Linked DNA regions of Oryctolagus cuniculus. The protein of the gene in region 5 purifies or fractionates together with the protein of the main gene of each other region. This does not show direct contact. Links are inferred from orthologs where the notes say so. Each region holds a gene or a part of one and is shown on either strand. Other genes may lie near its edges.

The links.
Region 1: the proteins of PRKAG3 (region 5) and PIP4P2 purify together in Homo sapiens (affinity purification with mass spectrometry; 3 studies listed by BioGRID and IntAct, with this or other methods). This does not show direct contact. The link is inferred for Oryctolagus cuniculus from reciprocal best matches to the Homo sapiens genes PRKAG3 and PIP4P2.
Region 2: the proteins of PRKAG3 (region 5) and PFDN6 purify together in Homo sapiens (affinity purification with mass spectrometry; 3 studies listed by BioGRID and IntAct, with this or other methods). This does not show direct contact. The link is inferred for Oryctolagus cuniculus from reciprocal best matches to the Homo sapiens genes PRKAG3 and PFDN6.
Region 3: the proteins of PRKAG3 (region 5) and PFDN1 purify together in Homo sapiens (affinity purification with mass spectrometry; 3 studies listed by BioGRID and IntAct, counting the BioPlex papers as one, with this or other methods). This does not show direct contact. The link is inferred for Oryctolagus cuniculus from reciprocal best matches to the Homo sapiens genes PRKAG3 and PFDN1.
Region 4: the proteins of PRKAG3 (region 5) and PRKAA1 purify together in Homo sapiens (affinity purification with mass spectrometry; 3 studies listed by BioGRID and IntAct, counting the BioPlex papers as one, with this or other methods). This does not show direct contact. The link is inferred for Oryctolagus cuniculus from reciprocal best matches to the Homo sapiens genes PRKAG3 and PRKAA1.
Region 6: the proteins of PRKAG3 (region 5) and PRKAA2 purify together in Homo sapiens (affinity purification with mass spectrometry; 3 studies listed by BioGRID and IntAct, counting the BioPlex papers as one, with this or other methods). This does not show direct contact. The link is inferred for Oryctolagus cuniculus from reciprocal best matches to the Homo sapiens genes PRKAG3 and PRKAA2.

Annotation. Positions count from the first base shown.
Region 1 is NC_091437.1:116,416,130-116,419,629, reverse strand, and holds part of PIP4P2 (type 2 phosphatidylinositol 4,5-bisphosphate 4-phosphatase), read left to right. Parts: intron 1-2,063; coding exon 2,064-2,154; intron 2,155-2,933; coding exon 2,934-3,077; 3' UTR 3,078-3,500. UniProt on the Homo sapiens protein: Catalyzes the hydrolysis of phosphatidylinositol-4,5-bisphosphate (PtdIns-4,5-P2) to phosphatidylinositol-4-phosphate (PtdIns-4-P).
Region 2 is NC_091436.1:135,834,645-135,837,547, reverse strand, and holds PFDN6 (prefoldin subunit 6), read left to right. Parts: upstream 1-1,241; 5' UTR 1,242-1,499; coding exon 1,500-1,563; intron 1,564-1,764; coding exon 1,765-1,835; intron 1,836-1,915; coding exon 1,916-2,040; intron 2,041-2,211; coding exon 2,212-2,341; 3' UTR 2,342-2,403; downstream 2,404-2,903. Other genes in the region: WDR46 (WD repeat-containing protein 46), read right to left, coding at 9-121, 272-352, 465-677, 774-842. UniProt on the Homo sapiens protein: Binds specifically to cytosolic chaperonin (c-CPN) and transfers target proteins to it. Binds to nascent polypeptide chain and promotes folding in an environment in which there are many competing pathways for nonnative proteins.
Region 3 is NC_091437.1:27,961,788-27,965,953, reverse strand, and holds the start of PFDN1 (prefoldin subunit 1), read left to right. Parts: upstream 1-1,366; 5' UTR 1,367-1,514; coding exon 1,515-1,547; intron 1,548-4,166. UniProt on the Homo sapiens protein: Binds specifically to cytosolic chaperonin (c-CPN) and transfers target proteins to it. Binds to nascent polypeptide chain and promotes folding in an environment in which there are many competing pathways for nonnative proteins.
Region 4 is NC_091445.1:66,041,618-66,045,117, reverse strand, and holds part of PRKAA1 (5'-AMP-activated protein kinase catalytic subunit alpha-1), read left to right. Parts: intron 1-1,696; coding exon 1,697-1,838; intron 1,839-3,500. UniProt on the Homo sapiens protein: Catalytic subunit of AMP-activated protein kinase (AMPK), an energy sensor protein kinase that plays a key role in regulating cellular energy metabolism.
Region 5 is NC_091434.1:20,619,485-20,622,045, forward strand, and holds the end of PRKAG3 (5'-AMP-activated protein kinase subunit gamma-3), read left to right. Parts: intron 1-18; coding exon 19-56; intron 57-201; coding exon 202-348; intron 349-639; coding exon 640-756; 3' UTR 757-873; intron 874-1,238; 3' UTR 1,239-2,061; downstream 2,062-2,561. UniProt on the Homo sapiens protein: AMP/ATP-binding subunit of AMP-activated protein kinase (AMPK), an energy sensor protein kinase that plays a key role in regulating cellular energy metabolism.
Region 6 is NC_091438.1:116,460,579-116,464,078, reverse strand, and holds part of PRKAA2 (5'-AMP-activated protein kinase catalytic subunit alpha-2), read left to right. Parts: coding exon 1-73; intron 74-543; coding exon 544-782; 3' UTR 783-3,500. UniProt on the Homo sapiens protein: Catalytic subunit of AMP-activated protein kinase (AMPK), an energy sensor protein kinase that plays a key role in regulating cellular energy metabolism.

The DNA.
Region 1 (3,500 bases), on a different chromosome or scaffold from region 5:
GGGAGACCCAGAAGAAGCTCCTGGGTCCTGGCTTTGGATCTGCACAGCTCTGGCCGTTGTAACCAACTGGAAAGTCAACCAGTAGATGGAAGACCTCTCTCTTTCTGACTTTCAAGTAAATAAATAAATCTATAAAAGAAAATAAAAGACTAACCTCCTTAACTTTGTAATTATAATAACTTTGTAATTATAATTCTAAAGCAAAAGTCTTTGTAAAAAGACTTATTGGAAAGGCAGAGTGACACACAGAGAGACAGAGAGATGAAGAGAGAAATCTCCCATCTGCTGGTTCACTCCCCCAATGGCCTCAACAGCCAGGATTGGGTCAGGCCCAAACCAGGAACCTGGAACTGTATTCAGGTCTCCCCCGTGGGTGGTAGGGCCCAAGTCCTCCACTGCCTTTCCTGGTGCATTACCAGAGAGCTGGAGCAGAAGCGGAACAGCTGGGACTTGAGTAGGCAGGACTCAAACCAGTGCTCGTGTGGGACACTGGTGTCACAGGGAGTGTGGCTTAACCCACTGTGAGACAACGCCAGACCTATTCTTAAAAAATTAATTTAGTATTAAATGTTTCAGACATATCACAAGGTACAAACAATACTGTAAGGTCAGTGCTCTGATATGGATGCCAGCGTTTCAGGCAGTGACTTAACCTGTAATGCCACAGTGCCAGCCCCTAAAATATTTTAAGAAAATGATGAAAAATAAGCAATATTTTATTTTATTTTAAAATAAGTATGTATGAGTGGATCGATAGAATGTGGGGGTGGGGGTGAGAGACAGAGGACAGAAAAGAGTGCTTCCATTCCCTGGTTCACTCCTCAAATACTTGCAAGGATCCCAAGCTGGCGGCCAAAGCCAGGAGCTTGGAACTCAGTTTAGGTCTCCCATGCAGGTGGCAAAGACCCAGCTATTTAGTCAATATCTGCTGCTCCAGTGGCAGAAATATGGGATCAGGAATAGACCCAAGTCCCAAATTCAGGCACTGTAATAAGGGATGCAAGGGGGGTCGGCACCGTGGCTCACTTGGTTAATCCTCCGCCTACGGTGCCGGCATCCCATGTGGGTGCCGAGTTCTAGTCCCGGTTGCTCCTCTTCCAGTCCAGCTTTCTGCTGTGGCCCGGGAGGGCGGTGGAGGATGGCCCAGGTGCTTGGGCCCCTGCACCCACATGGGAGACCAGGAAGAAGCACCTGGCTCCTGGCTTCAGATTGGCGTGGCACCAGCCACAGTGGCCATTTGGGGAGTAAACCAACAGAAGGAAGACCTTTCTTTCTGTCTCTCTCTCTCACTGTCTGTAACTCTACCTGTCAAATTATATATATATATATATATATATATATATATATATATATATGGGATGCAAGGTCCTCAACTGGCAGTTTCAGTGCTAAACCAAATGCCTGCCTCCATTGTAATGCTTTTAAATTATATTTAGCTGGCCTTATTTGTAATAATCAAAGCATTCTAAGTGCACAACAGTAGGAATTTGGTTAATTATCTTATATTCATCTTCAGAACTCCAGTTTGAGAATACTTAATGACATAGAAAAGTGCTCATGCTATATATTAGTAAGTTATAAGAAATTTATATGCCAAAATGTTGAGTTATTATTTTGTGATGGTGGGATTACACATAATTTTACTTTTCCTTTCTATCAGTTTATTTTCCAAATTTTCTACACCAAACATATACTATTATATCTGTAAAAAGAAAATCAAATGCTATATGTAAGCTAGCACTGATTTTTCATTCTGTGAGTGATTTTCTTGGGAACATATTATTATCTTACAGGATCATTAGAGAACATAGGACATTTTTTGTGGATGTTGTCAATGACTAAGGCTTGAATTTTGTTTAAAGTCACAATAATACCACAAGTTCACCAGTTATTATTTCATAACTCATTACAAATAACATTTTATGCATATTTTTGTGTATCAAGCCCAAGAAATAAATGAAAATATTTAAAATAATGTTACTAAGACCCTGGAGGACTCCAAGATGAAATGGATAATCTGTATGTAAATACTTAAGTTCTCTGTTGCTTTCATGAATTTGCAGCTCCTCCGTGGGTAGTGCACTTCCACGAAGACGCTGCTGTGCATACATTACTATTGGAATGATTTGTATTTTCATTGGAGTTGGATTAACTGTGAGTATTACTTTACCATTTGAATTCTTTCCCCTTAACTATCAATAATGGTGAGGTCTGGTCCCTGACCAATGGTCCCTGAAAAGGCTTGCACACTGGCGTGCCAGGCCCAGAAGCTTCTGAAGGATCATGGGTCATCAGAAACCCAATCCAAGGCCTGTTTTTCAAATGGAGCCTGGTCGTCCAAATGAAATGGTGTCTTTGAACCCCTTGAAAAGTCTGAAAAGTCCTTGACATTGGGGACTTTACCATCCATTTAACTAAAGCCCATTTGTTTTGATTATGTGGCCATGGAGTATCTTTTTCTCCTTAAGCCAAGCAGAGATTTATTACTGATGTGAGGATTGGCTTATTTTTAGGGGAGACGGAAGCCAAACAGTTGCCGTGGGGATTATGCAAGGGAAGAGGAAGGAATTGTCCCATTTTGCTGCCATTTACTTTCTGTGCTCTTTGTTCCTTAGTTAGTCCACCTGGTCCCAGGTTAGTAGCAGGTTGTGTCACAGGATAGTTAGGAGTTACACAGATTAGATACACTTTAGCGATAACATTTTAATGTGCCTTTTTGTTTACTTCATAAAACTGATTGTAAATATAGGTAGCAATATCATCTGTCAGTTTTAGTCAGCAGATGTTAAACCTACTCGGGTTTTATAAAGACTTTGTGGATTCTCTCTGGGAATCTAGTTCATATAAATTGCATATAAACCAAAACATGTTCTCTAAGTGGGTATTTTCTTCAAGTTTCTAATATTGTGTTTTCATATTGCTTTTTGTTTTAGGTTGGCACCCAAGACTTTGCAAGGCGATTTCGTGCAACCTATGTTTCTTGGGCAATTGCTTATCTTCTAGGTCTGATCTGCCTTATCAGAGCTTGTTACTGGGGAGTCATAAGAGTCAGCTATCCAGAACACAGTTTTGCATAAGCTTGCTTAGGATTCAGTGATAACAGGTGAGAGTGTCTAGCTACTCTGGACATCTTCAAATCATTTATCCTAATGGATTCCATTCTGGTTTATGTATAATAGTTTCAAGACTTTCAGAGTCTTTTATGAACAAATGCTCATTGCACTACATTATATGCAAATAGATTGTTTTGCTGCTAGGTTTTCAAATTTGGAATAATAAAGCTGTGTTTTTATGTTCTTTAAAATCTCTTAAAGATATTTTCAGATTTGTCACCAAACAGTGCATATAGTCTCATGCTTTCATTATTTTTTAGTTATTCCATTACTTGTTGTTGAGTATTCCCAAGAATTGTTAATGAATGTTTCAATAGGTTCACATTTATACTTACATTTTAATTAAATGCCATCAAAATTGCTTGCTTTAAAATCTAAACAATGTGC
Region 2 (2,903 bases), on a different chromosome or scaffold from region 5:
CCACTCACCCAGGCTCCTCAGCAAGCAGCAACTCTGAGCGGGCAGCTTGGACGCTGGTTTCCTCTTCCTCAGCTTCAGCTGCCTCAAGTCTGCTGCGCGTCTTGGACTTGGAAGGCGGCAGCTACAACAGCGTTGGGAGTGGAGGAGGAGGAGGAGGAGGAGCGGAGGGAGAACACGGAGAATCACAGCAGAGCCACCGGGCCCCACCTCCATCCTTCTCACCCAGGCGCTCCCAGCCTCCAGTCCTTCCCCACCGTCCAGCGATTCTCACCTTTTTAGATTTGTCAATGCGACGGAACTTCCGGGCTGCCTCCACCGGGACGGGGGCGGGGCCCGGGAAGGGGTCCTGGGCCTGGGGCAGAGAGGAGGCAGTCAGCTCACAGCTTCGGGCTGACCCCCCAACCCTTTCACTCGCAAAGCACAGAGAAACCTGCCCCCGCCACCCTGCCGCGGTGCAGGCTCACCCCAGACAAGCTCCGCTGGGGCTCCGGCTTCTTCGGCCCTCGAGACTTCCTCGCGACCAGGGTCTTCTTGGAGATGCGCGACTTCTTTGTGACCTGAGTGTTCTTTGGTCTCTGGGGCCGGAGCTCCCGGTTCCGCTTCTTCTTAGGAGGCGGGCCTGGAGAGGCGCCGGTGGCGCTCGGAGTGGTGTCCACTTCCCAGTATCGCCGCGGTTTCTACGGGCAGATCAGGAGCCCTGGAACTCCGCGGCCCACGTCCCGCCCCCGAACCCCACAGCTAAAACCTCCCTGCCCGTCCAGAGAAGCCTGTACCTTCCTCTTGGCCTGAGGTTTGTCCTTCTTGGGTGGGGCATCCTGACTGGCCTTTGGGACTGTCTCCATCTCGCCCACTGGAACAACGATCCACGTGCAAATCTCTCAGCTGTCCCACAGTCGGCTTAGACTCTCCCGGAAGTCCTCTGTTCCGCCTCAGCCAATCAGCATCGTTCCAGGGCTGAAGTCTTGAGCACGCCATCTTGAGTGAGGGCACACTCTCCTTTAAGGGGCGGGGCGTGCTGTGGCATCTCCCTCGGGCGCCGCAGCTTATACCCGAGGAATGGGGAAAAAAAGTCAAGTCCGGGCCAGAAACCAGTAACAGAATAGTCTTTTTCCGGATTAACTTCTCTGTCTTGCCTAAAACCTTCTGAGTCCAGTCATTTCAGCCGAATGCCGCTTATTAAAAATGTTAGAACTACATTTCCCGACATGCAACCTGGAGGCAACTTCCGGATTGATTTTCCCAGCATTCCATGTTTACTTCCGGGTTGATTAATACAGAAGGGAGAACGTGAGTAGGTTAGGGTACCGTTTCAGGGGTTTTGCGTTTCTTTTCGTCCTGCACCCACTGGGGTCGGGTCGATTCGACTTCCCGGACAGGGAGAGGCCGCGGTGCCCCGAAGGACTGCCTCTCAAGAGGACTGTCATTTCCGTCGGCCCGACCAGAAAGGGGAGCTCGACCCCAGCGCCCCTCTCCCGTTCCCGCAGGCTTTCATCCCCGCCATGGCCGAGCTGATCCAGAAGAAGCTGCAGGGAGAAGTGGAGAAGTATCAACAGCTACAGAAGGGTAAGGGACCGGGTGGGCGTAGTCTCGCCGCAGCCCGCAGACTAGCCGAAACGAGCTCTCCGCCCCAGCCGGCCCGCTCCTTCCCCGCCTGTATACTCGCCCCTTCTTCCCGGTCTGCTTCCTCACATCCGCCTTCTGGGCCAGGACTGTGGGAGCCCGTGGCACTCTTGGTGTCCCACTCACGTCTCCCTTCCTCCCTAGACTTGAGTAAATCCATGTCAGGGAGGCAGAAGCTTGAAGCCCAACTAACGGAAAACAACATCGTGAAGGAGGTGAGGGGCCGGGAGTTGTGGGGGCGGAGCAGCCTGGACCGGCTGCGGTTCTGATCAGACCCGTCCCGCTCGCCCACCAGGAACTGGCTCTGCTGGACGGGTCCAACGTGGTCTTTAAACTGCTGGGGCCGGTGCTGGTTAAGCAGGAGCTGGGGGAGGCGCGGGCCACGGTGGGGAAGAGGCTGGACTACATCACAGCTGAAATGTGAGTTTTTGTCCCACTGCCCTGGCTGTCGGCCGGCGGGTGCTGGGGACCTGAGTGGATTGCCCTTCGGAGCAGCCCACGGAAGCCTCCCCTTTTAACGCGGCCTGCCCCTCCCCCTAGCAAGTCCCTCTAACTTCTCCCTGTCTTCTCTGGCCCCTGGCCTCTCCTCAGTAAGCGATACGAATCCCAGCTCCGGGACCTGGAACGGCAGTCAGAGCAGCAGAGGGAGACCCTGGCCCAGCTGCAGCAGGAGTTCCAGCGGGCCCAGGCGGCCAAGGCAGGGGCTCCCGGGAAGGCCTGACCTCGGGGCGGGGCGGGGTGGGATGGGCCACTCTAAGTACCTAATAAAATGTAAACACCTGGCTCTGTTGTCCTGCTTGTCTGTTCCCCCGGCCTCCATCACCTGACCCACACACCACACACCACTGTTACTCCCTCAAGCCCACATTCCAGCACCTGCAGTCTCTGGAACTAAACTCTAAAATGTCTCAAAGCTGCTCCTCACCTGTACTCGTATGTACAGCCCTTAATTCTCCGTTATTTTCCTAAGACACGGCCTTTTAGGAAACACAAGGACATTTACAACCTAAGCATATTGTTGGGAGTGTCGTTTAAATTGAAGAACTCAGAATTCTCTGAGAACCCAGGATGAAATGTGACTCCTCCCCTTGCTGTGAATACAAGTGCTCCGTAGGGCTCATGGGAAAATGGAAATAAAAGGTTGGGTTACAGCAGGTGGGGGCTTTTGACTCTGCTTCTCAATAAAAATATTTCCATGCAAGACATTTTGAATCATGCATTTTCCATGTACTCTTTGAAGACCCATCACATGCATGACTCCAAAGCTTCTGTACCAAAATAAC
Region 3 (4,166 bases), on a different chromosome or scaffold from region 5:
GCTGCGGCCAGCGCACCGTGCTGATCTGAAGGCAGGAGCCAGGTACTTCTGGTCTCCCATGGGGTGCAGGGCCCAAGGACTTGGGCCATCCTCCACTGCACTCCCTGGCCACAGCAGAGAGCTGGCCTGGAAGAGAGGCAACTGGGACAGAATCCGGCGCCCCGACCGGGACTAGAACCCATTGTGCCGGCGCCACTAGGCGGAGGATTAGCCTAGTGAGCCGCGGCGCTGGTCCCTTTCTTTCTTTCTTTTTTTTTTTTTTAAAGAATTATTATTTTTTAATTTGAAAGACAGAGTTACAGAGAGAGGTAGAGCCAGAGAGGTCTTCCATGTGCTGGTTCACTCCGGAAATGACCGCAACGGCCAGAGCTGAGCAAATCTGAAGCCAGGAGCCGGGAGCCTCCCCTGGGTCTCCACACGGGTGCAGGGGCCCAAGGAGTTAAGCCATCTTCTACTGCTTTCCCAGGCCACAGCAGAAAGGTGGATCACAAGTGGAGCAGCCGGGACTCAAACCCAATTGCCTGTTTCAAATGCTAGGTCCTTTTATAGCAGAGGTTCTCCAAATGTGTTCTGTAGACAACTTTTGCGCCACCAGGTCATGGGGAGTTAGGATAATTGCAAATTTTTAAGCCCTCAAAGATTCTGAATAAGCTTGGAATGAGACCTAAGAATCTATATTATTTAACATTTATTACTATTATTTGAAAGAGAGAGAGAGAGAGAGAGAGAGAGAGAGGGAGAGAGAGAAATCTTGATTCCTTCCACTGATTCATTCTACAAAAGTCCTCAAGTGCCAGGATTGGCCAGAACAAAGCTGGCCAATTCAGGTCTGCCATATGGGTGGCAGGAACCCTATTACTCGATCCATTACTAAGGCCTTTCAGGGTGTTCATTAGCAGGAAACCAGAATTGGAAGCCTAATCAGGATTCAAACCCATACACTCCAGTATGAGATGCTGATGTCTTAGCCACTGTACTAAACATTTTTCCAAAAATTTTTCCAAAAATCAAACATATCACCTCCCTCGAGAATCTCTAATCTAGAAAGTCTTTGGGAGCATTCAGTAGAAATGAGTTCTTTGGTGGAAAACCCAAGCCTTCTAATAGTCTTCTCCATATGGTTAGGCCTGAGGTCTGGGGTCCCTTCTTACTCATCTCTGACAGCACAGGACGAGCTGTAGGACTGAATAACTGATGAGGGTTTGACCTGATCCACGCACTTCTCAATTGAGTAGAAAAACTATCAAACTGTTCAAAGCCACAAGCGAAATCTACACGTTGGGCTGTGTCTGGAAGATGTGGAGGAACAAGCCAGACCTGATAGGTCAGCAAGGGAAGACAAATTGAATCGGAATCTTGAATATTTAGAGTAACCCGCTCCGCAACAGGGAAACAAACCCGATTAGCGGCACGCAGGCGCAGGCGCATTAGGAGGGCGACCCATCAAAACGCAGCCCTTCCCCCACCCCTTTCCGGCCTTCTTCCAATGCGCAGGCGCAGAGGGGTGCATCAAGATGGCGGCCCCCGTGGATCTGGAGTTGAAGAAGGTAAAAGAGGGTCTTGAGCAGGCAGAGGCTTCTCTTTGGAGGCCGAAGGGACTGTGGACAGGAATATCGAGTGAGGCTTGAATGTTTGCGGGAGCAAAGAGGCGCTGGAGGACTGGGGAATGTTTTCCCGGAGGCCTGAGGCGCCGCGGGGCCTCCTTGAGCCGAGTGGGCAGCTAGCGGCTCTTGCTGGGTGGGAGCTAGTTGAGCCGGGCCGGGTCCGAGTGCGAGCTTACCCGTTTGTTCTGAGCCCCAGAGCTATTTCGTTGCGTTTGGAGCCTTCAGGGGCTCAGTTTCATGGTAAGAACAGAAGACAACGTCTTAAAACCTCTTTGGTGCGGTTGCCTGGGGCTGAGGCGTGTGTAATTCTGCCTCATTTAATTCGGGAGAAAAAACCCAACACCTGTTTTAAAGCCATTTATTCCCATCCTGTACCTTGAAAAGCCGCAGGAAGGCATTGTCCCCTCTCCTCCTCCCCTCCTTTTGCGAAGGGCTTGTCTAAAAAAAGGAGCAGCAGAGTTTGCCAAATAAAAGCATTTTGAGAAGGAATTGCGTTTCTTCTGTTCAAACAATTGCTTATAAATGTTTGGTACCGGAGAGCAGTCAGGATTCTAACTCCACTGCCGACTCAAAACGTGTGCTTTGGGGGGCGAGGGCGGATTGGAAAGGACCCTGGACTGCATAGGATTTAAATCTACTTTTCTAGAAAGGGAAACAACTCTAGAGAAGTCTCAAAGAGTGGAATTAGAATACCATGTTCTCTTACAGGTTTTTTTGACCAGTAGTTTAAGTTCTTCATGGAAAACATCTGAACAGTCTTTGCATTAGAAATAGGGCAGCTGAAATAGCTCTTATTAAATGAAGCTGTTACTGTTTTAAAGGTGTTTGCGTCTCGTTTCTTCTGCTGCTCTTGTCTTGAAACTTGTAAGTTGCTTTTACATGCTGTTCTCTAATATCTTGGCTATATCTTCCTCCATAAACTGTATAGAACAGTCAGAAAATACCTGAAATTTTACATTTCAGAATAAAATTGTGTTTTCTGAAAAATTTACCCTTTTTTCCATTAAAAGTGTAAACTTAAACCAAGTTTTATTTATTTATTTATTTATTTTTGACAGGCAGAGTGGACAGTGAGAGAGAGACAGAGAGAAAGGTCTTCCTTTGCCGTTGGTTCACCCTCCAATGGCCGCTGCGGCCGGCGCACCGCGCTGATCCGGTGGCAGGAGCCAGGAGCCAGATGCTTTTCCTGGTCTCCCATGGGGTGCAGGGCCCAAGCACCTGGGCCATCCTCCACTGCACTCCCTGGCCACAGCAGAGAGCTGGCCTGGAAGAGGGGCAACCGGGACAGAATCCGGCGCCCCAACTGGGACTAGAACCTTGTGTGCCAGCGCCGCTAGGCGGAGGATTAGCCTAGTGAGCCGCTGCGCTGGCCTTAAACCAAGATTTTTTAAAAAATATTTTTTTTGAGAGGAAGAATTACAGAAGGTGAGAGGGAGTGATAGAGAGAGGCCTTCCATCCACTGGTTCACTCCGTAAGTGGCCGCAACTGAACCCATCCAAAGCCAGGAGCCAGGAGCTAGGAGCTTATTCCAGGTCTCCTGCGTGGGTACAGGGGCCCAAGGACTTGGGCCATCTTCTGCTGCTTTCCCAGGACATAGCAGAGAGTTGGATTGAAAGAGGAGCAGCTGGGACTAGAACCGGTGCTGCAGAAACCAAGATTTTGATGAAGAACTATCAAAAGTATTAACTGTGAAAGGGCTTGCTTCCCAGTACTCTTTGAATTTATTGATAAGAAACAAGTAAACAATTAATACAAACTAAGAAAAAAATTATAGGCCGGCGCCATGGCTCACTAGGCTAATCCTCTGCCTGCGGCGCTGGCACCACGGGTTCTAGTCCCGGTTGGGGTGCCGGATTCTGTCCCGGTTGCCCCTCTTCCAGGCCAGCTCTCTGCTGTGGCCCGGGAGTGCAGTGGAGGATGGCCCTAGTGCTTAGGCCCTGCACCCGCATGGGAGACCAGGAGGAAGCACCTGGTTCCTGGCTTTGGATCGGCACAGCACACCGGCCACAGCGGCCATTTGGGGGGTGAACCCACGGAAGGAAGGCCTTTCTCTCTGTCTCTCTCACTTTCTAACTCTGCCTGTCAAAAAAAAAAAAAAATTATAGACAAGTTGAATAATTTTGACAACCAATTAACAAGGAAACGTATATCAGTTTTTTTTTTTTTTCTTTTTTAAAGATTTATTTATTTGAAAGGGAGGGAGAGGCAGAAGCAGAGAGAGAATCCATTGATTGATTCCCTAGATGTCTGCAATGGTGGAGCTGGGCCAGGCCAAAGCCAGGAGTTTCTTCCTGGTCTCCCATGTTGGTGCAGGGGCCCAACGACTTGAGCCATCCTCCACTGCCTTCTCAGGCACCCTAGCTAGCAGGAAGCTGGATCAGAAGTGGAACAGCCAGAATTCGATGGCATTGCTGCAGGCTCAACCTTCAGTGCCCTAGCATTGGCTCCGTGTATCAGTTTTATTTCCTAATGTCTTCATAAGCTATTTTTTTGAGTGGTATTTAATAGGAAATATAGACATCTCTTCTTCCCCAAAGTAAATCTTCTGAAACTTTGCTAGA
Region 4 (3,500 bases), on a different chromosome or scaffold from region 5:
TATACAGTGTCTTCAGAACTACCTTTCTTGAAACATTTATCACATTTCACTAATTTTGAGTCAGACTTAGGTTGAAATTTTGGCTTTGCCACTCATTAGCTGTGTACCTTTGGGCAAGTTATATCATTTTGCTGAACTTCAATTTCCTGTAAAATGTTGCTAATACTCATCTTCAGGGCTGGTGAGAGAGCATGTTTGGATCCAAATTGGGTATGTCAGAAATACTAACTAGTGAGCTGTATACCTTAATTACATTATGTTTTATAGATCGACTACATTTTATATTGTAAAAATTATAATTTGTAAGTCAAATGACCTGTGTTTTTTTTCCCCCTCTAACTTTTCTATGATCAAAGAAGTATTCTTGTAGTTTTTACGTAATAGATAAAGTCACTGTCAGGGAGTGGTGCTATAAGTAAATACACATATGCCTAAGAATAATCAGTTGAACTTTAACTAAAGTCAGGAAATTGGTTGAACTTTGGAAGTTGGAAATCTCAGCAATGGTGGTGGTGGTAGAGCAGGTTGGTGAGAATGAAACTTGTGGGAATGGGAACTAGATGCATGAAAATGATGGTATTATTTATGTAGTACTTATATGTCTGCATAAAAGAATGCTTTAGAATCTAAAAGAGTGCAGATCAAAGAACTGAGATAAGACTGGCTGTTCAGATATTAAAGCAGATAATTCAGTTCTAGGAACAACAGAAAATCAATAACCCTAACTAGTAGTAGCTAGGGGCCAGTGCTGTGGTGTAGTGGGTGAAGCTGCTGCCTCTGACACCGGCATCCCTTATTGGCACTGGTTTAAGTACTGGCTGCTCCACTTCTGATCCAGCTTCCTGCTAATGTGCCTGGGAAAGCAGTGGAAGATGGCCCAAGTACTTGGGTCCCTGCACCTGTGTGGGAGACCCAGAAGAAGAAACTGGCTTCAGATCGGCCCAGCCTCAGCTGTTGTGGCCATTTGGGGAGTGAACCAGTGGATGGAAGGCTTCTCTCTTTGCTTCTGCCTCTCTGTAACTCGGCTTTCCAAATAAATAAATCTTTTAAAAAAATTAGTAGTAGCTAACATTTATTTATTGATCATTCACTGTGTGGCAGGCATTCTGGAAAGTGCCTTACAAACACTACTTCATGTATTCATCACAGTCACTGTTATGGAGTATGTGGTATTCTTATTTTTACAAATGAGTAAATAGAAGGTTAAAGTTTTTATACTTGCCAAGTCAAACATCTATTAAGTACCTTCAAACAGGATTAAACTAAAGTCTGTCATGATGGAGTTTTTTGGAATGATGGAACTGCTGTATATCCTAGTATAATGGTGGTTACATCAATTTCTACACCTGTTAAAGACTATAGAACTGTATATCCCCTTAGTAGTTCAATTTATATGTATGGTAATTTTAAAGTACAAAAATATATACAGCAAAAAGAAAGTCTCTTTTCTTTTTCTTTCTTGTCTTAGCCTTCTAGCTTTCCCTTCTATAAGAGATCACTTTTACCGTTTTCTTAGTATTTTTCATTCAGATTCATTCTGAAACATTTGAACATGCAGGGCAAATATTGGGCAGAAGAGAAAAGAACTTAAATCTGTTCACATATTTTCTGAGAATGCTAACCTTACTACTCTTAGAATAGATCTAAATATATTATTAGTCAAGCCTTATATTTATTAAAATTATTTCTCTTACAGTTGGCAAACATGAATTGACTGGGCATAAAGTTGCCGTGAAGATACTCAATCGACAGAAAATTCGAAGCCTGGATGTGGTAGGAAAAATCCGCAGAGAAATTCAGAACCTCAAGCTTTTCAGGCATCCTCATATAATTAAATTGTAAGCTTGTTCACATTAAACATGGTTCAGTCATCTTTTTATCACTTTTGTTAATCTACTTCATCTTCCTCTGAGAAATATTACTGATATTTCTGTTTCCTGAGGGTTTTGCAAAGTTTCTTCCTGCTCATGTATTTTTTCTAACCCTGTTTGGTCAGTTAAGCCTGTCTTTGTGTTTTGACCTTGTGCTTCTTAGCTATTATCCTTCTTATTCTTTCATCTTCTGGACAGATGTCCTTCTGACTGACAGTGTTCCATGCCCCTATTGCTATTGAACCAGCAATGATTTGCTAGTAAAAACAACCTAAATTTCCACATAATGTCACTTAGCCTCACTAATGACAATGCAGTGAAAAAGATTTCCCCTCATCCTATTTATATCTGATCATACATATAACAAAACTATAGGAATCTATTATTTGAAAAGGGCAGTAATCCAGTAACCCTTCTATTGTATTGCTACCAGTTGTAGCACCTACAGGTAATAAATTTACTATTCACTTCCTGCTTTGTTATGCAAGCTATAATTTGAAACCTCACAGCCTTTTCTAATGAACTGGATGACTCAAAATTTGTTTCACTGTCACCTCTTCTCATTTGTTGAGGTATATGTTATTTTTAAGGATTTGTTTATTTGAAAGGCAAAACAACAGAGATAGGAAGAAACAGTAAGAGAGAGAGAGAGAAAAAATCTTCTATCTGCTGGTTTACTGCCCAAATAGCTGCAAGAGTCAGGGTTGGTTCAGGCCATTGCCAGGAGCCTGGAACTCCATCCAGGTCTCTGACCTGGGGAGCAGGGGCCCAAGTACTTGGACCATCATCTGTAGCTTTCCTGGGCACATTAAAAGGGAGCTGGTTTGGAAGTGGAACAGCTGTTACTTGAACCCAAGCACTCCAATATAGGATGCCAGCATTGTAAGCAGCTGTTTAACTTGTTGCACCACAATGCTGGCATATATATATATATATATATATATATATATATATATATATAAAATTTATTTGAAAGGCAGAAAGAGAGAGGTCTCTCGTCCACTGGTTTACTCCCCAAATGGCTGCATTGGCTGGAGCTGGGCCAATCTGAAGCCAGGAGCAGGAGTTCCTTCGAGTCTCTCGTGGGTATGGGGCCCAAGGTCTTGGGCCATCTTCTACTGCTTTCCCAGGCCATAACAGAAAGCTGGATGGGAAGTGGAGCAGCTGGGACTTGAACCAGCACATATATGGAATTCCAGCACTGCAGGTGGCAGCTTTATCTGCTATGCCACAGTACGCTGGCCTCATGTTGAGATGGTATTAAGTAACATCTGTATGCTACTGTTCCCTAAATGTGTATATCCTGCTTTGAAACTTCTAAACTCTAGACTCACAAGCTCACTGCTGATTTTACAGCTCCATTTGGATGTATGTGAGGCATTTCAAACCCTATGTGGCCAAAGCTGAACTCTGTTACCCTCTTAAACCTGCTCTTCCCATAGTTTTCACCATCTCCATTAATAGCCAGTTACCAAGAGGAAAAACTTAGGAACCATCCTTAATTTCCCTATTTCTCCCACTTCCTACCATCTGTTCCATTTTATCCTTTAAAATATATCTAGGATTTGACTATTTCTGAGTTTCTTTATTTCCATCAAACTGGTCTGAACCATCTTAATTTCTCATGAC
Region 5 (2,561 bases):
GCCCCTCCCCTACTGCAGGTCAGGTCGTGGGCCTCTACTCCCGCTTTGATGTGATCGTAAGTGTGGATGGGGAGCTGGGGGGGGGAGGTGGTGGTGTGAGCACCAGTAGGGGAACTTGGTAGACATGGGGGGACATTTCTGAGGGGGGCTGGAGCCTGAACGGGGGAGTGACCAAGAGCCCCCCTTTGTTCCCTACCCCAGCACCTGGCTGCCCAGCAAACCTACAACCACCTGGACATGAGTGTGGGGGAAGCCCTGAGGCAGAGGACAGTGTGCCTGGAGGGGGTCCTCTCCTGCCAGCCCCACGAGACCCTGGGGGAAGTCATCGACAGGATTGCACGGGAACAGGTACCCCATGCGCCTCCAGGCGCCTCCCCACCCCCACACAGCTCTGTTCTTCTATTCCTGTACGCTGTGCACCTGCTCCGTCCTTCCACTTCCCGACAACTCTTTTCATGACCACGGGGCCCTGGTGCCAAGGGCCACAGCCAGCTTGCATGGCTGCCTGCTTCCTGGGAGATCCCCTCTCGTCCCTGTCCCCAGCCCCGTCAACTTCCTCACCCTGTTTCTTGGGTCCGACCTCTTCCATGGCCATGGTCCCCTGGCTCTGCGCCCTCACTGAGCACGGTCTGCCCACAGGTGCACCGGCTGGTGCTAGTGGATGAGACCCAGCATCTCCTGGGCGTGGTCTCCCTCTCCGACATTCTGCAGGCGCTGGTGCTCAGCCCTGCTGGCATCGACGCCCTCGGTGCCTGAGAACACTGAGTCCTCCCTCCCGGGCCACCTTCTGCACCTGAAGCCAATGAAGGGAGCCGGGGGAACTCGGCCTTCGTCTTCCCCACCCGTTTGCTGGCTCAGCTCTGTCTGGTTCAGGTAGGCTGCACCCTGGGTCTTTCTGGGCTCTCAGATCTCAGATTGGGGCCCACTCCATGTGGCCCCCATGGAAACTCACCAGCCACCACTTTGTCCCATGCTCAGCCGAAGTCCTGGAGGCCTTCCCGGGAGGGGGTGAGGGGACAGAGGATGAGCTAAAGACAAGGATTTCAGGGGCCCTGGGATGGAGTCCCCGCTGTCTCGCTGGCAATACAGCATCTGCTGGGAGATCCATGACAAGGGAGCAAGCTAACAAACCCTTGCTGAGTGGAATCTCCATGCATGAATTCCACCCAGGACTCCCCAGTAGGAGGCAGCTCCCCCTCCTTGCCTGGTCACCGTCTTTGCTTCTGTCTCCCTCACAGATGTCTCCAGCCCTTTCCCTGCCTGTGCTCCCAGAAGCCCTTGGGCGCAGCCACTGCACCATGGGACGATGAGATGAAAGAGAACAGCTAAGCCTGGAGGCCCCTGCACCAACCCTCTGGGATGGCCCCAGGGACACCTGTGCTCCATGACCGCCGGGATTCCTTCCCTCACCTGGGTCAGGACTGGCCCTAGGGGGCAGCAGTGAGCCTGCAGCCCATGGGGTCAGTCAGGGGCTCCAGGTCCCTCGGCTTCGGGATTGCCCCCTACTCACACCCCCAGCCCCTGGGAGTCCCAGCTAGTCATTCAGGGGCTAACTTCACCACCGTCCTCGGACTCTCCCGGCATTGTCGCTCCAGGGCTGCTGGGAGTCACCACGGAGCCACAGTTACTACAGAGCTGCCTGCGGAGTGGGGTCCTCCCTCCGCGCTTCCCCAGAAAGCCCTTAGCTCTCCGCAGCGAGCAGGGCTGCCAGTCCCTGCTGGTGGGTGGCCTTGTATTCGGATCCCTGAGAACAAGCAACGGAAAAAGCAAAAAGAACAATCCCCGAAACCGGCTCTTAGTAGGGCTCACTCAAAATGGCACAGTCATCTAACCTGAGCTTGTGGCAAGATCCCTGTGCTGTCTGAATTCAAAAACGCCAACGAAAATCTGCAGTCGGCAAAAGCTGCAAGTGGCATTTCCTTTGTACCCAAAGTGTATTCCACCAAAATTCCTTTTTTACCTTTTGTTTATAACAAAACCATAACTACCTATGTCTATGGCAGGAAGCACTCCATCTACCAACTCTAAGCTGTGAGAAATATAACTTGTCTAACACCGAGACTCATTTCTACCGTGAACCTGATCTCCACTGTGTACCCCATTTCGATTCGGGGTTAAGATCGGGAGAGAGGGCCGGCACCACGGCTCACTAGGCTAATCCTCCGCCTAGCGGCGCCGGCACACCGGGTTCTAGTCCCGGTCGGGGCGCCGGATTCTGTCCCGGTTGCCCCTCTTCCAGGCCAGCTCTCTGCTGTGGCCAGGGAGTGCAGTGGAGGATGGCCCAGGTGCTTGGGCCCTGCACCCCATGGGAGACCAGGAAAAGCACCTGGCTCCTGGCTCCTGCCATCGGATCAGCGCGGTGCGCCGGCCGTCAGCGCGCCGGCCGCGGCGGCCATTGGAGGGTGAACCAACGGCAAAGGAAGACCTTTCTCTCTGTCTCTCTCTCTCTCACTGTCCACTCTGCCTGTCAAAAAAAAAAAAAAAAAAAAAAAAAAAAAAAAAACAAGATTGGGAGAGAGGGGTGCTTTATGTGGTGCTAGACTTTGCTCCTTAGCCATCAG
Region 6 (3,500 bases), on a different chromosome or scaffold from region 5:
TATGTGAAAATGAGCTTGCAACTTTACCTGGTTGATAATAGAAGCTATCTTTTGGACTTTAAAAGCATTGATGGTAAGGAAGCTGTGCAGGTATAAACTCTTAAGAAAGTAAAACTTGGCACTAGTTGATCAGATTTTAAAATCATCTCAAAGACATGGTGGGTAAATATTGACGGGTTTTTAAGTAATCTAGACAAAATATTAAGTGAAATTATTTTTTGATATAATGGAAGATATTAAGTTGTCAATGATATGTTTTCTTCAAATGTGGGGCTATCAGTTTGATTTCAATATTAATACCACATATTTTGTCGAGAAGGATTTAGGGATCATATTTTGACCATGTGGAAGTGTTGTGATTGATTAGTGATGGATTAGGAGGAAAGAGCTATTACCACCTCTGCTCCTGAAACACTGAACATGACATTTATTACTAAGCTGCCTTTGTTCCAATATGTTTATATAATCTCCTGAATATAGCAATTTCGTAGAGGACTTGGGCAAATAGAATTTATGTATGAATTGTTCTTTTGTCCTTTCCAGATGAGGTAGTGGAACAGAGGTCTGGTTCCTCAACACCTCAGCGCTCCTGCTCTGCGGCTGGCTTACACAGGCCAAGATCAAGTTTTGATTCTACCACTGCAGAGAGTCATTCGCTTTCTGGCTCTCTCACTGGCTCTTTGACAGGAAGCACATTGTCTTCAGTTTCACCTCGCCTGGGCAGTCACACCATGGATTTTTTTGAAATGTGTGCCAGTCTGATCACTACTTTAGCACGTTGATGATCTGTCCCTGGTTTCTATCTTTCTGTTACTGCACTGTGAAAGATGAGATATATTCTTTAAATTATTATCTTACTTCTGGATGTCACATATCTGCAATACTAATTAAGAGACATGAATATTTCCAGGGGACACTCGATGCCATTGAAATTATTGAAAACAAAAATGTCTGACATTTTATTTACCTGTAGAACTCTGTAATTCTAACGTGCCTGTGATAAAATCACATAGGCAGTGTCTTTAACTATTGGACATCAATGAAGATTGTTAATTCACAGGTGTGGGTTCACTTCAGGTGATTTACTCAACTCACTGAGGAACCCTCTCAACATGAGAGGGGTTTGTCAATACCTCCCTGCTTCACTCTTTATTGTAGGTCAGTCACATTTGCTTCCTAAATTTCAGTAGGCTTTAAGCAGTGTTTATACAACCCCAGTTTTCTTGAACAAGATTTAAAACACAACCACTAGTTAGATATTATATAAATGGTGAATTCTTAAAAACTTGCCCTCCCAAATTTCAGAAGCCAAGTTTTTGCAAATATTGCCTAGTGCTCACCAGAAGGGCTGTGGTCCTGTAATAGGTAACCACGATTTCCAGGTACCTTATAAACAGTTATAGAAACCTCAGGACTTTATCTTGAGATTTCCCTAAATAATAGGTTTTAGCCTAAGAGCTTTCAGGGTTCGATTTGGTATTGGAACAAATCATCTGGAATTGCAACAATTTTTATCTTTTCTATAAACATGTCCTTTTAAAATACGCCTTCAAAACCTACTTTTCTCAAATTTGTTTTGGCTTGTTTTATGTTTTTGCACTTAACAAAGAATAATACAATAGTAGACAGTTAAATGAAACAAAGCAACGTATCAATGATCCCTTAAAAGTGAACTCTTATTTTTGATCCTTTATTTTGTATGTATGAGATGGGGATTAGGGGGAGTTAAGGAGGTGAAGGTCTTCTTGCATTTCACATTGCAAATTCTTCATTTAAAGTTTAAGTTTCTAATCGCTGTCACCTCCTTAACCCAACTAATCACCATTGTCTTTGCTCATTGTTTGATCCTCAGTGGTCCATTAACTTAGCTTTTGAGTCTTTCCCACTACCTTTCTTGGTTGCTGGCCATTCAGTTTGAAAACACCATTCTGGCCCCAAGGGCTTTTATGTACTCCCAAAACTTGAGAGGCCATGACCTTCACTGTTGAACCTGATATGGCAGAGAAGCCTTAAACATTGAGAAAAGTTCTCTCTTGAATAAATGTATGTGTTGTTTACATATATACATATATGTATTCACATACTAGTGCTTTTCAGAAAAACCAAACATTTTTTGCTGTTTTGTTTCATGCAGGTTATTTTTAAGATTAAAAAAGAAAACTATATATCAGGGTAGATAATAACTCATTTATTATATTTTGTTTTAAAAATATTTAATTTTTAAATTATGTGTAATTTATCTAAATTGTATTTATTCATTTATTGTATTTAATATGTTATAATTAACAATCTCATTCACATGACTTACTCTAAAAAATATTAAGCTCTTGAAAACGAAACAAAACAAAGTGATGACATTGCCTTGACAAATTTCTCTTTGCCAAAAATAGGATATTTTCTACCAAGAAGCAGATGTTAGAAAACGTTTCTCCCGTGCTTATCAAAGACAAGAATGTCTGTCTTGGAATGTTTTTTTAAGTTCTGAGTTTGCATTGTATCACATTGTTTTTAGGTCTCTTAAAAATGTTGTTAAGTAACTTGTAAGTTGGGCTTGTTAATGTCAAAATAAAAGGGATCCTTGTTCACCAGTCTGGGGAGCGGGATGGTCTGGAGTTTGAGATAGTACTGAAGTTTAACCTTTGAAACATTGCCATCTTGTGGCACCAGTAGGCTGTTGTTTCATTTACTGTTTTAGGTGGGTAAGTAGTCCTGTATTAGTTTGATATTCAGTCTGCTAAATGGCATCATTTTGGCTTCTCCAAATGTGTACAGGCCTCTTTTGAGAAAAACAGAACCATTCAGTCTTTGCCTGAATATGAATGGAAAGATCTTAGAAATAAGGAACTAAACAGATTCCTTTTCCCCAGTAGCAAAGTCCACAATTTTGAAGGCAGAGAAACAATGAGAAATAATCCAGTGGCATTTTAGTTTTGTTATTCTAATGAGCCAGATAATAGAAACTTATTCACATCAAATTTATATGGATGATTATCATATGTTTTGAGAGTTAAAAATTTATTAATTTTTTTCTCATTCTTACCAGAATTTGTGAACATCCACAGATTGATAATTGCTTGTTGACTTGTAGGAGACCCAAAGGGTGCAGTTTTGTTTATTCCATTTGTAAATTTTTTTAAAACAGATATTCTGTGACTCTAGATGGTTTAGTGAAATAGTTTGTAGAGAGGAGACATTAGGAGACCCTGTCTAGCTCAATAGTAGACTCTTTGTTACCTGTGAGCACAAGAAGGGAAAGAATCAATTTCTAATCTAAAATTCCTACATATCAGTCTTAGATATTGCTGAACTGTGGATGATAGATAGGTCTGAGCCAAGCACAATGTCCTGCAATCAAGACACTTCAGGAGAGCTTCTGTTATTGGGCTATAGATAAAGCTTTAGATGTGTCATGGGAATAGACTCCATGTGGTTCTAGAACAGCATGCCTCATAGTGCATCCTGTGAGATACTCTGCTGAGGAAAAGAGTTCATGATGGAGT